Alligator mississippiensis: one gene and its partner. The protein of the gene in region 2 purifies or fractionates together with the protein of the main gene of each other region. This does not show direct contact. Links are inferred from orthologs where the notes say so. Each region holds a gene or a part of one and is shown on either strand. Other genes may lie near its edges.

What was found. Proteins that work in one complex are often made in the same cells at the same time.
Region 1: the proteins of CCP110 (region 2) and CEP97 purify together in Homo sapiens (co-immunoprecipitation; 10 studies listed by BioGRID and IntAct, with this or other methods). This does not show direct contact. The link is inferred for Alligator mississippiensis from reciprocal best matches to the Homo sapiens genes CCP110 and CEP97.

Annotation. Positions count from the first base shown.
Region 1 is NC_081824.1:262,277,097-262,284,018, reverse strand, and holds the start of CEP97 (centrosomal protein of 97 kDa), read left to right. Parts: upstream 1-3,843; coding exon 3,844-4,060; intron 4,061-6,922. Other genes in the region: RPL24 (large ribosomal subunit protein eL24), read right to left, coding at 436-499, 1,104-1,240, 3,001-3,111, 3,627-3,702, 3,785-3,789. UniProt on the Homo sapiens protein: Acts as a key negative regulator of ciliogenesis in collaboration with CCP110 by capping the mother centriole thereby preventing cilia formation. Required for recruitment of CCP110 to the centrosome.
Region 2 is NC_081836.1:45,264,371-45,271,919, forward strand, and holds the start of CCP110 (centriolar coiled-coil protein of 110 kDa), read left to right. Parts: upstream 1-4,466; 5' UTR 4,467-4,565; intron 4,566-6,069; 5' UTR 6,070-6,084; coding exon 6,085-6,225; exon of another isoform or gene 6,226-6,238; intron 6,239-7,549. Other genes in the region: GDE1 (glycerophosphodiester phosphodiesterase 1), read right to left, coding at 1,315-1,569.

The DNA.
Region 1 (6,922 bases), on a different chromosome or scaffold from region 2:
GCTGGTAAAATCTCTTGTAGTGTTTCCATTTTAATTCTTCCTTGAGGACATAGAGTGTCCTCATTAGAAGTGAGGCAAGTGTACTCAGATAGTGGTATCGTATGCATAGTGACAAATCTCAGCAAAGCAGGCTGAGGAGGTTTACAGGAAGAGCCCTGCAGTGCTAACCAGCTTAAAGAACAGGCAACCATCAATATGATAGTCATGCTATCAGGAAATGCAATAATTTAGTATTGTTGCAGTCTCTAAAAGTGAAGATTTAAAAGCATCTCTCCCATATCGTAGACTGCCGAAGCCCATGTTTCAGCAAAAGCAGCACGCAATGCACAAGCTCTCAGTCAGGTGTTCCACACAACAGTATTTCTTATGGGCATGTTTCAAGTTACCAGTTTTACATTTTATAAATTTCTACCCTTTTGGCCTAAAAGATATCACCTTTGTAGTAGAGGTTGCAGTTTTCTTGGTTGCCTGCTTAGCCTTCTTGGCTTCCTTGGCAGCCCTGTTTTTAAAAAAAACAAAATGAGTTACAATAACTATTTGCTTCTTCCACCTAATGTTTTCCTTCCATCTCAAAACGAAGTGGACTCTATCTACAACGATACTAAAGAAACAAGAACTGCTTTGAAGGTAGGTAAACCTAAAATTATGATGCATTTGACTTCTGGCCTATAGCTGCATAAGGCATCTTGAGAAAGCTCACTCAGAATCTTAAAAAATACAACAGCTTGTAGTACTCCAAACAATACAAGTGGCATTTCCCCCATCCTAAATTATAACCAGTCATTTTTTTAATATATTTTTTGACCAAATAGCAGTAAAGGCAATTTCTATCTATACTAAAGCAGCATCCCCAAAAACTGGACAGCTATTTTTTTTTAAAGCTCCCATGACTTTGTGTTAACAGTCTTATCTGCTTCATCATTTTAACCCTCAAGCTAGCACTACCTTAAGTATTTTGTCTTCCTTTCCAACTCTACCCTCCCACTAACAAGCCAGGTTGCAAACTGTGACCTCAAGCACAATTTAGAAATCTGTAATGGAAACCAGAATATTTGCTACACTGGAAATACTTGAGATCGCTACAGTTGCCTTCAGCTGCTCACCTAATGGCTTGTTCCCGCTGCGCTTTTCGTACTTCAGGCTTCTGATTTCTCTTGGCCATTATCTCAGCCAAAGATGCACCAGTGATAGCCCTCTGGAACTTGACAGCACGGCGTGTCCGCTTTTTTTGTATCTCTTCCTAAAATGGGAGAGGTGTGAATTGGATAATTAGTGCCACAAGAAGCTGAACAAAGAGCACTGCATTATTTGCATTTGTCTTCAGTGTTGAAGAGTCCCCATTTTCTCCAAAATCCTTAACAGAGTAAGAATCTGTTTTGGCAGATGCTGACCATAATGGCAATCATCTCCACACTACATATACCAAAATCATCAATGCATTATTTATCGTCTATGAAGACAAAGAATAAAGATAAGAGAAATGAGTTAAGTGCAATGAGAATGTAAGAGCATTCCTTATGAGTACCTAAAAACAGGAAATCTATTTGTATAAGTCATTTTGTTCAAAAGGATGCTGTGCAATGAAGTTTCCAATCATGAGAAGTCAAGTTTGACCATCTTCAGAAAATGCTAGCAAACCTTCCTCTTTGATTACTCAAAATGGCACATACTTCAGCTCCCCTCTCCAGGCCCACCTATTTAACCCTGCTTCCAGAAACCACATTTTCAAATTTAACTTTCTATAATCCAAAAAGTATAATGAACTCCATGAGATCCCAAGAAGACTAAAACAGAACATGTTCAGAAACTACTATGATGGGAGAGAGCGAAAACTGTTGCAGTTCTCCACATAGCCTATTCACTTTTTCTTAAAAATAAATAAATAAATAAATAAATCTTAACTATAACACCAAAGAGACTTTTGGGGCTTTATCAAACAAGCTGGCATAGATAACCTAATCACATATGTGTTTCCCTGTTCCAATCAAAACAAGCATCAAAAACCTTGTCAGCTAAAGTTTAAGTAACACCTTTAAAAATTCCTTACTACACAATGGAAAGAGGCAGTTAGCTATGAGGTGAGACAGAAGGCAGGGCAGCTCCTACAGACATGGGGAGCCCGCTCTGACATGCCAGAAATTCAGCACATCAGAGCAGACTTGATTTCGAGTCCGCTGAAGCATGGAAATGAACGCACTCCAGCAGCCTTCAGCATCACATGCATCAGTGACCTGTGTGTCCCAGCAATGAAAGATGGTGGCAGGGCACTTTGAACTAAAGCTCATTGAATGTGTTTTATTTCAAAGGGCCTTGCCACCAATTTTTCAGTGTGGGGACACAAGATGCACACAATACGCGGGCACTTTTAGTTAGTGTGGTACGCTTAAAGTGCCCCAAAACACATATAAAAATTCTTTCAGAGCCATAAGTTTTTGTAGGTGACAATCAACTTTGCCAGATGCCATGACAGCTATCATAGCATGATGGGAACCATAAAAACTACTGGAAACATACTTGAAATTTGATGCTGTAGCAGAGATTCAGGATTTTTATACCCAGCAATCACTTCATAATTAAGTTGGACCTAAAAATCACAGTCCAAGCTTTAAAACAGATACAAGCTACACTTGCTACAAGTGTAACAAAGAATGTACACTCAACTAATCACCTACCAACTAGAGAGGAATATAGAACTCTTCCCTTCATTGCAGTAATCCTTCCGAATAAGAATTAAGTGGCATCACACTGCCCAGCCTTAATGTCAAAGTGTTAGTATTTGACAGAACCAAAAGCCAACAAACAGGAACTATGTACGGCCAGAATCACAAGGATATGAATTTTGTATTGGTAAAAGTGAAGGTCTGTATCACTTAAATGCTACAGCCCACTTCACAATCCAGGAGTTGTCACTTGTTTGCACACCTGTGGCAAATGGGATGATTCACATGCCTCTCTTCAACATTAAAGCATCGTTATTCATAATATATTAAATATACTTACAGACTGTCCTTTCTTGTGTTTGCGTCGATACAGAACAGTCCAGTTGATCTGGCGGGGGTTTCTCTTGGAGAGAAATGCAGACTCGCATTTTGCATTCAGGAACTGGAAAACCTGGAGACATGCACACAAATATACCTATTTTACAATAGGTTTACTCCATTCAAACCATCACAGTTTATATGTTTGTCAAGTTGCTGAGTCCTCCTTAGAATCATAGAAAGTAAGGGTTGAAAGGGACCTCAGGAGGTCCAACCCCTGCTCAAAGCAGGACCATCCCCAACTAGATCATCCCAGCCAAAGCTTTGTCTACTTTGGTCTTAAACACCTCCAAGAATGGAGATTTCACCACCTCTGCATAACCTGCCCCAGTGTTTTACTACCCTCTTTATAAGAAAGTCCTTCCTAACATCTAACCTAAACCTCCCTCCCTGCAACTTGAGACCAGCGGTCCTTGTTCCGTCATCTGCCACCATCTTTGCTGCCCCTGTGTAGGGTTAAAGCCTGCCAGCGTCCCTGGGCTTGTGCATACCTCGGGGCTGTGCTAGGTCTCTACATCACAGCCACCGTCCCCTGCAGCCTCCCCTCCCCCAGGTCCTCTCGGGCCGCACTCCCCAACCCTCGCGCACCTTGCCGTCCGTGCGGGCGTAGCGGCGGCCGTGGCCTGGGTAGATCTTGTAGCCGCTGAAGCTGCACAGCTCGACCCTGCGAGGAGACAAACGCAGTAGGTTAGCGGGGGCGCTTGGGTGGCGGAACCGACCGGGGGGGGGTGTAAAGCAGAGCTCACTTCATGATGGCGGTAGATTCGGCCTGGGCGGCGGCAGCGACTAAGAGGAAGAGAGGATTATGGGAACGCGCCTTTTATATGCGCCACGCGGGGCAGGCCGGGACGAAACTGCGGCGCCCAATGAGGGCGCTCAGCAGGGCGTGGAGGTGGGGCTGCCTCGCTGGAGGAGGCTGCTAATCTGCGCGTGGCCCTGCGTTGCTTGGCGGCGTGTGCAAACGGGCAGCATGGCGGCGGCGAACAGCGAAGAGAGCGGCCCGGTCGCGGGCGCCGAGGAAGGTAGCGGTGGTGCTGGGGGAGGGGGTGCGCCGGTCTCGCAGCGGTTGGCGGGGGGAGAGGCGGTGTGCGCGGGGCACGCTGGGAGCTGTAGTTCGGTCCGCGCGGGGCCGGCGCGCTAGCCTGGTGCTCGCACTACGCTTCCCGACAGCCTTTGCGTTTCTCCCCCCGCGCCCAGGCCTTGCCTGACCTCTCCGTCTCGTCCCGCGCCTGCCCTGCTCTCCCTGCCCAGGTGCAGCGGCAGCTGCTGCGCAGGTTGTTCTGCGGGTTTCAGGGAGCTGCGTCCTTCCTGACCCCCACCTCAGCGCGGCCAGGAAGCGCCCTCTGTTTTTAAGTCCCAGCAGCAGCACGGGCACAGCCCAGTCGTGGCTGGTGCCAGCGTCTGGCTGGGGCTGAGGCTACACCTCTCCATCTCCGTCCCCTGCACTCTCTTCTGTTTGGCCTGATGTCTTGTCAAGCAGTCAGGTCTGGTAACTCATCCTCTTGTCTTCTTCACCAATGTCCCCTTGGCCTGGTGCCCTCAACACACTCCCTCCTGCGTCCTGGCTGAACCCCTCCCTGCCCCTCCACTCCCTCCTTGAGACCCCTGCCTCTCAATCACACAAGGCAGCTGGACGGTAATAGTCTCCAGGCATCACAGAGTTGGCTCCTGTAGGGATGGTTCGGTCCCATGCCAATCCTCCAGTGCCTCTTCAAGGCTTGCTGATGAAGACTGCTGTGCATTAAACAACTTCTCTTACTCTATGCCAATTGTACAGTTGGTGCAGTAAAAGATATGGGGACAGGCCTGCTTTGAGCAGGGGTTTGGATTAGATGACCTCCTGAGGTCCCTTCCAGCCCTCATTTTCTATGATTCTATATTACCCAAAAGAGCTTCACCTCTTTGAGGCTTAAGCTGCAAATGTCGTGTCAGATCTTTTCAGTCCTTCCATTATGCATCACTGAGGCAAGATGGTTTTCTCGGTTTCCGCCCCAGCCCCTCTCACCTTCTTTATATAAACCCCATTTACCAGGGGATCTTTTCCTTGCTGTAGCCATAGCTTGTATGTGGCTTTCGTAATTGTCAAAGTAGATTCTTCCATACTCAAACTCCATTTATCCCTGCTGTCATCTCTAGAAATATATGTTGCCAGAGGCGACTCGAACAGGATCCGGGGCCCAGGGCAAGTCGGTCCATGCAGGGCCGTGCCACCACTCCGATCCCAGACCTGAAGAAGCGGGTGGGGTAGCGAGCGGCTGGGCTCCGTGGGGCCCCCCCAAAGCGCAGGACCCGGGGCGGACAGCCCTGTATGTTGCAGACATCGCTGCAAAGATTCTGATCCTCATTGTGAGCTATTTGAGGCAGGAACCTTGCCATATGTCTTTAAAGCATCCTGAACATTGCCAGATGCATGAGGATGATAATGGTAATAATTATCACTATAGGTTTTCCTCTTTATGCTGTATGTGCATTCCTGGAAAATGGAGTGTAACTTGAATTTGCATAAAGGGAACCCACTTTACAGTGTAACAAATAGGGATATGTTCCAAGACCTTGACTTTACTGACTCCCAGACCCATTTCTACCACTTTTACAAGGCAATTTTGGTATTCACCAACAGCAGACAGTACACACAAGCATAGGGTGGTGGTGAATGTTACCATAATGGGGATGGCAACTACAGAAACTCATCACAGACCATGAGCAAGGAGATCCACGCACAAGACTATATTTTGGTATGTTCCTCCCACAGTGTGCTGCACAAAGCAGCTGACTGCGGGCTTCCACCACACTGATCACATAAGAGTGAATTTACCTTGCATGTAAAGAATTTTTGGTATAAAGAGGGTCATCGCATAAGAATGAATTTGCACATACAGAACCCGCATAAATCAAGGGAAACCTGTATTGTCTTAAATTACTTATGAAGTTTTCCTTGATGAAGCTGAGTATGAAGTGAGTATGACAGACAAAAAACTAGAACTCTTGGTTCCAAAACAATACCTTTTATTAGACCAACCAAGATATCGCAAGAAAACTATCCTTTTCTACAAGCTTTTGGGATCAAAGTGAGTATGAAGCTTTTTTTTGATGAAGGAGAGAACTTCTCGATAAATTAACTCTTAAAAAAAATCAGTCCTTGTCATTGCAGTAGCAAATTTAGAAATATACAGCATCATCTCTGAGGCAAGATAGCTTACATTCTTTTGTTGCTGCTTGCAGCTTTGCTACTGCTGCACTAGGAACAGCTGCGTTAACAAAAGGAATGCAAAATTAGCAATGCTGTTGTTGGCAAAATTATCTCCAAAATTGGCTACTGTAGTTGTTAGCTGTATATCTGGCCCGCTAATACAATGACTGAAGGCAGTTCTTCAACATTGCTGTTTTTAGTCTTAGCTAGGTGGTAGCAAAGGTTTAAGAGATTTGATCTGGTAGGCCTGGGTTATGAGAACTGGCTATATTCTCCCCTGCCAGAGTACAGGGAAAGGGTCTACCAGTGAACAGGTGTCGGGAGAAGAACTTCTAGTTCTTCTCCCAACACCTTCTTCCGATACTCTTCAATGTCTTCATCAGCGACTTGGACGAGGGAGTGAAGTGTACTCTGTCCAAGTTTGCGGATGAGACAAAACTGTGGGGAGAAGTGGGCACGCCGGAGGTCAGGGAACAACTACAAGCAGACCTGGACAGGTTGGACAAGTGGGCAGAAAACAACAGAATTCAATTCAACAGGGAGAAATGCAAAGTGCTGCACCTAGGGAGGAAAAATGTCCAGCATACCTACTGCCTAGGAAATGACCTGCTGGGTGGAACGGAAGCGGAAAGGGATCTTGGAGTCCTAGTGGACTCCAAGATGAACATGAGTCGGCAGTGTGACAAAGCCATCA
Region 2 (7,549 bases):
ACAAAGCAGGAGAAAAGTGGTTGTGGATTGTGCTTTGGAGGGAGCTTACTCCTTTAGGGGTATGTGTTAGGGAAACCCATGAAGAGAGAGAAAGAAAAACAAGGCTGAGTCAATATGGGACTGAGCTTTTTAAAACAGAAGGGCAATGTGTGTTGCTCTGGATCAGGGGTTTTCAACATTTTGCGGCCAGACAGAGGGGGTGGGGGATGCAGGTGCATGCCTGAATGCACCACGGTGGCAGCCAGCGCATGCAAGCTCCTCACCATGTCTAGCCAGGCAGACAGCGCCCGCGTGCAACGGTGCATGGCAGTGCTCTGTCCCCGCCTGCCTGTGTATGCCCCCTAGGGCCTTCTCAAGTACCCCCTGGTGTATGCGTACCCCCGGTTGACAACCCCTGCTCTGGATTATCCATTCTCTCTTGCTCTCTTCACCTTCATCCCTCTGTCCTCACACAGACATGCCTTTTCTACAGCCTTCACCTTTCAGTATCCAGATGCTGGGTGTCACTTCAAGACATGGGACCTCAGTTAGGAAGAATGCCCAGTAGAAATAGTGCTAGGCTACTGACTTTTTCAGATGGTCTTTTACATTTCTCAGGTCTCAAGTAGCTGAACAACATTAAAGAAGAGATGTAAACAGCTTCTTCCCTGCGGTTTCCAAATGCGTCCTGCTGGGTACCCAGCGCTCCCCGGACTGCCTCGGGCAACGAGAACTGCTATATTTACCGTTAACAATGCACAGAGGCATGCCTGGCAAATCCCCAGCTAACCTGATGTCTCCATCAATTTTAGCAGCTCTCTCAATCCCTCCGGGTGGTTTGCTGACGAGCCCGCGCTAATCACTCCCATCGTACACCTTCGCGGCACTTTCCTTGTTTGTCGCACCCTTAATTGCCCACTTCTGCTTGGCTCCAGGCAACCCGGGCTTGTGCCTTTCTGAGAAGGGGAAGCAGCCGGCGCAGCAGGCTGTGGACGCGCCTGGATGCCAGGGCTGGGCAGCATGCCGCAGCCCAGCTCTCCTCCCTGCCCCGTCTCCCCTGGGTGTCAGCACCCACGTAGCAGCCTGGTCCCAGCAGCTGTGCAAATGAAGGGGGCCAGTGGCGGTGCAAACAAAGCACATCTTTCCCCCCCCCCCCAGCACCGCAGCCCTTGGGTGCAGCCGGCTCCCCCTCCCTCCGGCCAGGCGTGCAGCACCCCCGGCCCAGCCCGGCCCAGCGCAGCGGGGAGAGCAGGGCCAAGGCCGGGCGGGGGCTGCAAGGCCCGGAGCAGGAGGGGCGCAGCGCTGCCTTGCCCGCAGGGAGGCCCCGGCCCGGACCTGTCTGATGGCCGCCAGCGTGTTCTCGGGCGCGTCGTGGCCGCCGCCGCGGTGGGCGATGCGGGCGGCGGCGCCGCGCGGCTGCAGGACGTGCTGGGCCCGCGACAGCGGCGCCGGCTCCAGGCTGAAGAGCCGCAGCGCCAGGTAGAGCCCGGCCGGCGCCAGGCAGGACAGCGCCGGGCTGCGGCTCAGCGCCAGCAGCGCGCCCAGCAGCGCCGTGAGGGCGCCCAGCAGGCCCGGCCCGCCGCGCAACATAGCGAGGCGGAGCGGAACCGAGCCACCACTCCCGCCCGGCGCCGTCGGCACCGAAGCGCACAATGCGCCGCGGAGCTGCGCGCCAGCCAATCCACACCCACCGGTGGGTTTTGCCAACAACCAATCAACGCCCAGCCCCACTCTGCTATCAGCCAGTCATCCTCCAGCAACTGGCCACCGCCCGCCAATCGTCATGGAGGACACATCTTGGCTGAGTCTCTCAGCCAACGATTGGCTGAAAAGCCGGAACGGGGCAGGATCTGGGGTTGGGTCCCGCCTTCAGGGCTGCCCAGTAGGTGGAGGCGGCTCGCTTGGAGCTGCGAAACCAGGAGCTGCCTGCAAGCAACGCGAGTTCAGCTTATTAATGTCGATCTCCTGCTTTCTTCCTCTTCAGGGAGCGTGATTTGAAGGTTTTCTCTGCCCCAGGCAGGCTCCCCTGTAGTCCTGCAGCTGTAACTGAGAAAAACCGTTGGGAGACTTGGCATTTAAACGAATAAAAGAGATTACCCCCAAATCTTTGTCTCTGCCTAGTTAAAGGCATACGTAGAAGCAGCAGTGAGTGTGGAGGGACTTGTGCCAAAAATCCCCGTAATCAGCCACCTCTAGGTTATTTGAGCACTAATTTGGTATTCATAGACTTCATAGACATTAGGGCTGGAAGGGACCTCGGAAGATCATCGAGTCCAGCCCCCCGCCCAAAGGGCAGAAAAGAATTAGGCCTATGGCACCCGGGATTCCCAGGCGGTCTCCCATCCAGGTACTAGCCGGACCTGGGACTGCTTAGTTTCTGAGATCAGACGGGATCGGGTGCGCTCTAGGTTTTATTCTTAGGATATGCTCTAGGCTAAGTGTATTGTGGCTGACGGGGCTTGGGCTTCGTAGCTGTAGCCCCACTAGTCTCTAAACTGAGACTTCCCTCCTGCGGCCAGGGCTGTGCCTAGGGGGGCGAATCGGGGTGACAGCTGCGGGCCCTGCGCTTTGGGGGCCCCGTGGAGCCGGGTGGAGCGGCGACTCCCCGCTGCCGCCAGCTTCACGTCTGACTGCTGGGCAGCCCCCCTCTGCCTGCGGTCAAATCCACCCCCAACATCTTCGCATCCCAGGGGCAAGACCCCACACAGGCTGATTGGCCCCAGGCCCTGCAACCTGCTCGGGTTGTCTCTGCCTGCGGCCACACAGTTAAAGGCAAGCAAAACTTGGGGGCATGTGAACCCCAAGCCTCAGGGCTTGGGCCTGCACATAGGATGCCCACTGCAGGATTTGGAAGCATCTGAAGCCCAGGTGAAGGTGGAAGATGCTTGCCGGTAGCAGGGCCACATGGTTCTTGAAAGACTCATGGATTTGGAATTGATCTGGCTGATGTGACTTGGGACATGAAAAATTTTCCTTAAAAAGAAACAAAAACCAAACCGATTTTGCATTTCGTACTTAGCGTCCACATGATCATTAATGGCACATTAAATTTAGTACCTGTAATTACAGGTTCTAAATGTGCTGTAATCAGCGCGACTGCACATTAGGGTAAATGAATGCTTTTTTGGTGACATTAATGCACATAAGACTAAATCTACCGCACATTAGTGCATTAGCATGGTTTTTGCCAGCCGCACTAATGTGCAGTTGAATTAGTCTTCTGTGCATTAAGCTTCCTGTGTAGCCATACACAGAGTGATGTAGGTGCTTTTGATGATCTGCAGCCAGCTGTACGTTTTAAATGTTGAATTGATTTTGTAATGCATTTGTAGTTCTCTGTTTTTCCTTCCACTTCAAGCAACAACCTAAACTCAGACCTTGCCTGAGCCGAGTGTTGTTAGAGGAAATGAATGTCTTTTGCCCTGATCGTCTACTGAACTTCTTCTCATGCTCTGTCTGAGGTTGTTGATGGCAGGTACTGAGCAGAGTTCACAGGTTCCTTCCAAACTGACCGGCCCATCACAGTGAGTGTTTCTGCTATGGCTGAGGCCCGCTATGGCAGCATGATTACAGCTGGTTGCAGCCCAGGCTGCAGAGCATCATGACGCTTGGGAGCAAGTGCAGTCTCCTCTGACACGTGTCCAAAAGGAGAGCATGCCTGTGGCAGTCGCGCCTGTGCCCCAAGGATCATGAGACCACATGTTGCCATGTGCCCATGTCAAACACTGTCATCTCCCCAGTGCAAACTGGGGACATTGCAGTTCAGGTCCCTTGCTGCTGCTGGTAACTAGACAATGAATGACAAGAAGAGAGGAGCTGTTTTCAGGGCACTGTTTTCAGGCCATGGGCAGCATGAATGCTGCGTGCCCCTGGCGGCTGGGGGGGCACGGTGAGCTCCCACAGGCAGCGCTGCTGTCAGCAATGGGAGCATGGCAGCGGCAAGCAGGGAGCTCCTGCAGGGGGCCACAGCGCTGTCGGCGGTGGGGCAGTGGGGTGACAAGCGCCAACTGATGGCCAGTGACCATTTGCAGATGCTGCTGGCAGCATTGGCAGGTGGCCAGTGGCGATCACAGGCCGCCCACAGATGCTGCCAGTGGTATTGGCCTTTCTGCAGGGGGTGCACCACCACGTTCAGGGGGTGCATGTGCACCTGTGTGCACCTACACATCGCCAATGCTGGGAAGGATTACTGGAAACAGAGCATGGTTTACATGGAGTATCCGGATCAATCTGGGAAATCCGGGAGGAGCAGAAACCTTCCCGCAGAGGCATGAGCAGTTACCCACCTTCCCCTTTAGACTGGAGGGTACGCCTCTCTCCTTTCAAACTACAACTCCCAGCATGCGCCGCGGAGGCCAGAGAGCCTGTTGCTCCCAGCATGCAATGCCCCCGCCAAGCGGCGCGGGACGGGCGCCGGGGAGCAGTGCATGCTGGGATTTGTAGTTCTCTCCCGCCCGTGAGTGCTCCCAGGTGCGGCGCCCCGGAAGCGCAGGGGGAGGGGCGGGCTGCGGCCCCGGTTGCCAGGCGCCGGCGGCTCTGGCGCGGCGGAGCGCGGGGCCGGGATCGTGGGCGAGCGGGGCCGGCAGGTACCCGGGGACACGGCCTGTGGTCGCGGCCCCGGGCCCGAGCTCAGCGCGCGCGGCCCGGGCGGGGAGAGGAGCGCGTGAATGCGCTGCGCTGCGCTGCGCTGCGCTGCGCTGCGCGGGGCCCTGGCGCCTGCGGGCGGCCGAGAGAGAGGGAGGGAGGGAGGGAGGGAGAGAGGGCCCCGCGCTCGGGGGCTGCCCAGCTGTGAGCTGTGGTCTGCCTGGGGCGCCGGGCAGCGCCACCGAGTGTGTGTGTCTGCGCCCAGGCTGTGTCCCCGGGGTGCCTGGTTTCTACCCAGTTTGCAAAGGAGCCTTGCATTGAAAGGGGTGTTGGGCGCTGCTGCCTTCAAGACATCGGGGCCAGGATTTGTTCTGAGCTTGGCCGTGAGTCTCTTTGCATCAGTGCAGGAGCCTTGGTAGCGCAGGAGACTTTTGGGGGCTCTGACCCCCTGCCAGGGCTGTGGGAAATCCAGCAAAGAGCTGCTTTTGGATCCTCCATGCTACGGCAGATTCAGTGACTGCACAGACCGTGTGCAGCCTGCGTTCTCCAGCTGACTTGTGAATAAACCTCGTCTGCCTGTTTCCCTCTGCCCCCCACCTTAAAAAGATGATTTCCTTCCTCCCCACTGCCACCATCTGCCCCTTAACGTACGGCGTGGTTCTCCTCCCTGCACTGGCCAGGTCTCCGCATGACTGCTGTGTCCAGTTGAAGACAGTGTGTTTAAAAAAAGAAAGAAAGAGAGCTCATTTGAAAAGAGTCTAGGCCAGAGGTTCAGAAATCACGACCCTGGGGCAGAAATGGAAAGAATAGGGTTTATTTAGTCTAAAGAAGAGAGAACCGAGATGATGTGGAAAGGGGAAGGTTGTAAACTTTTCCACTCTGCTGGGGACAGTAGAGGATTAATGTGCAGCAGGGGACAATGGGATGTCAGGCCCAACTTCCTAATTGTATGAGTGTGGATCTGGCAGGTTTTTAGGGCACGACTAGACGAATATCTGTGAGGAAGGGTTGACTTGCAGTTCATTCAGCCTTTGGCAGGCAGGTGCACTAGATGACCTCATAACATCCCTTCCAGCCCCATTTTCTGTGATTGTAGTAGCAGTGCAACATCCTATCTTTTGTACTGGCTTTCAGATGTTTGACTGCCAAAGTTGTAAAGCACGGCACAGTCAAACAAGAAGTGTAGATGGTAAGTAGGGTTACAAATGGCTTGAAACCTAAGGCTGTTCTGGAGTTTAAGGTCCTAGTTTTGTTCCCGTCGAAGTGATTGCCTTGAGAAGCAAGCCCTTTGAGACAGCAGTACGCTGGAGATTACTTAACTTGGAGTCCATAATAGCACAGATTAACAAGAATTTGTATGAAATATTCCATGTCACATTTCTGTCTCTCGCTGCAATGTATCGCAGAGAACAGAATCATTTTCACAACCTGCTCTTGTTGTACTTGTCCTGCTGTATTTCTTCCACTGGTAGTACCATGGTGGTAGTAATATATCTCTATGTGCAGTTTAATCAAAGGAAGATGGAAGACTATGAAAAATTCTGTGAAAAGCATCTTGCCAGGCTTCAAGGAGAGTCGCTACCAAAAGAAATCTCTTTGCCTACTCAGCACAAAAATATTTCACTTATCCAGTTCCATGGCATTCCTGTGCTTTCACCCTTGGTAAGTGTGACATGTAAGTACTTACATTTAGAAAAGGCAGAGACCATTTTTGTTCACTTATCTATATTGGGTTATGGGGCAACCAACCATGACTAGCGCATTTCTGTAGTGTTCAGGAACGAAATCAAAGGCTGATGGGAGTGGAGTTTTATGATACGATTAAGTAAAAAAATAATTTTTCCCATTCCAGAGTTTGGATTGAGGTGTTTACCACTAGATGAGTACTCTTATGTTGGATTCTTTCATAGCTTCCCATTATACCTGTTGGTTTTCCAGCCTTATTTTGTGAATGCGGCTCTTTTCCTACCCTGCTCTCTTCTTGCTGGGCCCTTGTTTGATTAGTACACGTAGATAAGCACAAGTTATAGTGTAAAAAGTTCCTTACCATTTTTGTCTAGACAACACTACAACTGCTGGAAGAGTTGGATAGTAAGAAATGCAGCTACAAAGCCGACTAGCACAATCAAAGCCTTTAAGATGAACTTGCGGCCCAATTGCTTATGCATCCCACAGTGTGCCCCTCAGGCCTTGGCTACACAGAAGTCTTTCTAAAATCTTTTCTAACATCAGAGATGCTTCACTAGGAGGATTTTGGAGAAGTCTCAGTGCAGCAGCAGCTCCATTTTAATTACGCCTTAACTTGTTGCCTAGTACATACAGGGCACAGAAGTGGATTATTTACTGTGTTTCCTTTCACTTTGTGAAATAATGTATGTCTCATAAGAAAAATACTTATGGTGGTATAAACCAGGCAAATACTGCTACTATTATACTTTATTTTTAATGGAAAATTGCTTATTTGCTAGTTGCTGAATGTCGTTTGGGCTTATTTAAAATAGTACCAAATAAAAAGAGTGGATGGAAATGCTAGGTTGATTGGAAAGTTTTCACTCAACCCCATTTTCAATCAGAAAAAGTTTTTCAGCTAAACAGGATTTTTTTTTTTCCTAAAAAAAAAAAAAAAATTCAAAATTTTCATTTTATTCAGAAATGCTACTAGAGTGTCTCAGCAACAGGAGATGCTGTTTCATGGGAGATATCAACATTTTTCCATCTATTTCCAACTGGTTCTAAAAGATACTTAAGATGGCATCTCTAGATTAAAAGACATTATTGCTTTCTCTTCTCTTCCTCCTTCCTCTTTCTTCCTCTAACTTATTCTTGTTTTATAATTGGTCTTGGTTAGCTCTGTTATACACATATATTTTAAGTGAATTTGTATTTTAAGATTATTTATTTGTATGGAATACAGCAATTGAATGACAGAACATCCTATAAATGACGACACTGAGGGATAAGGCTAGGGTGGCAGTTTTAGATTTGA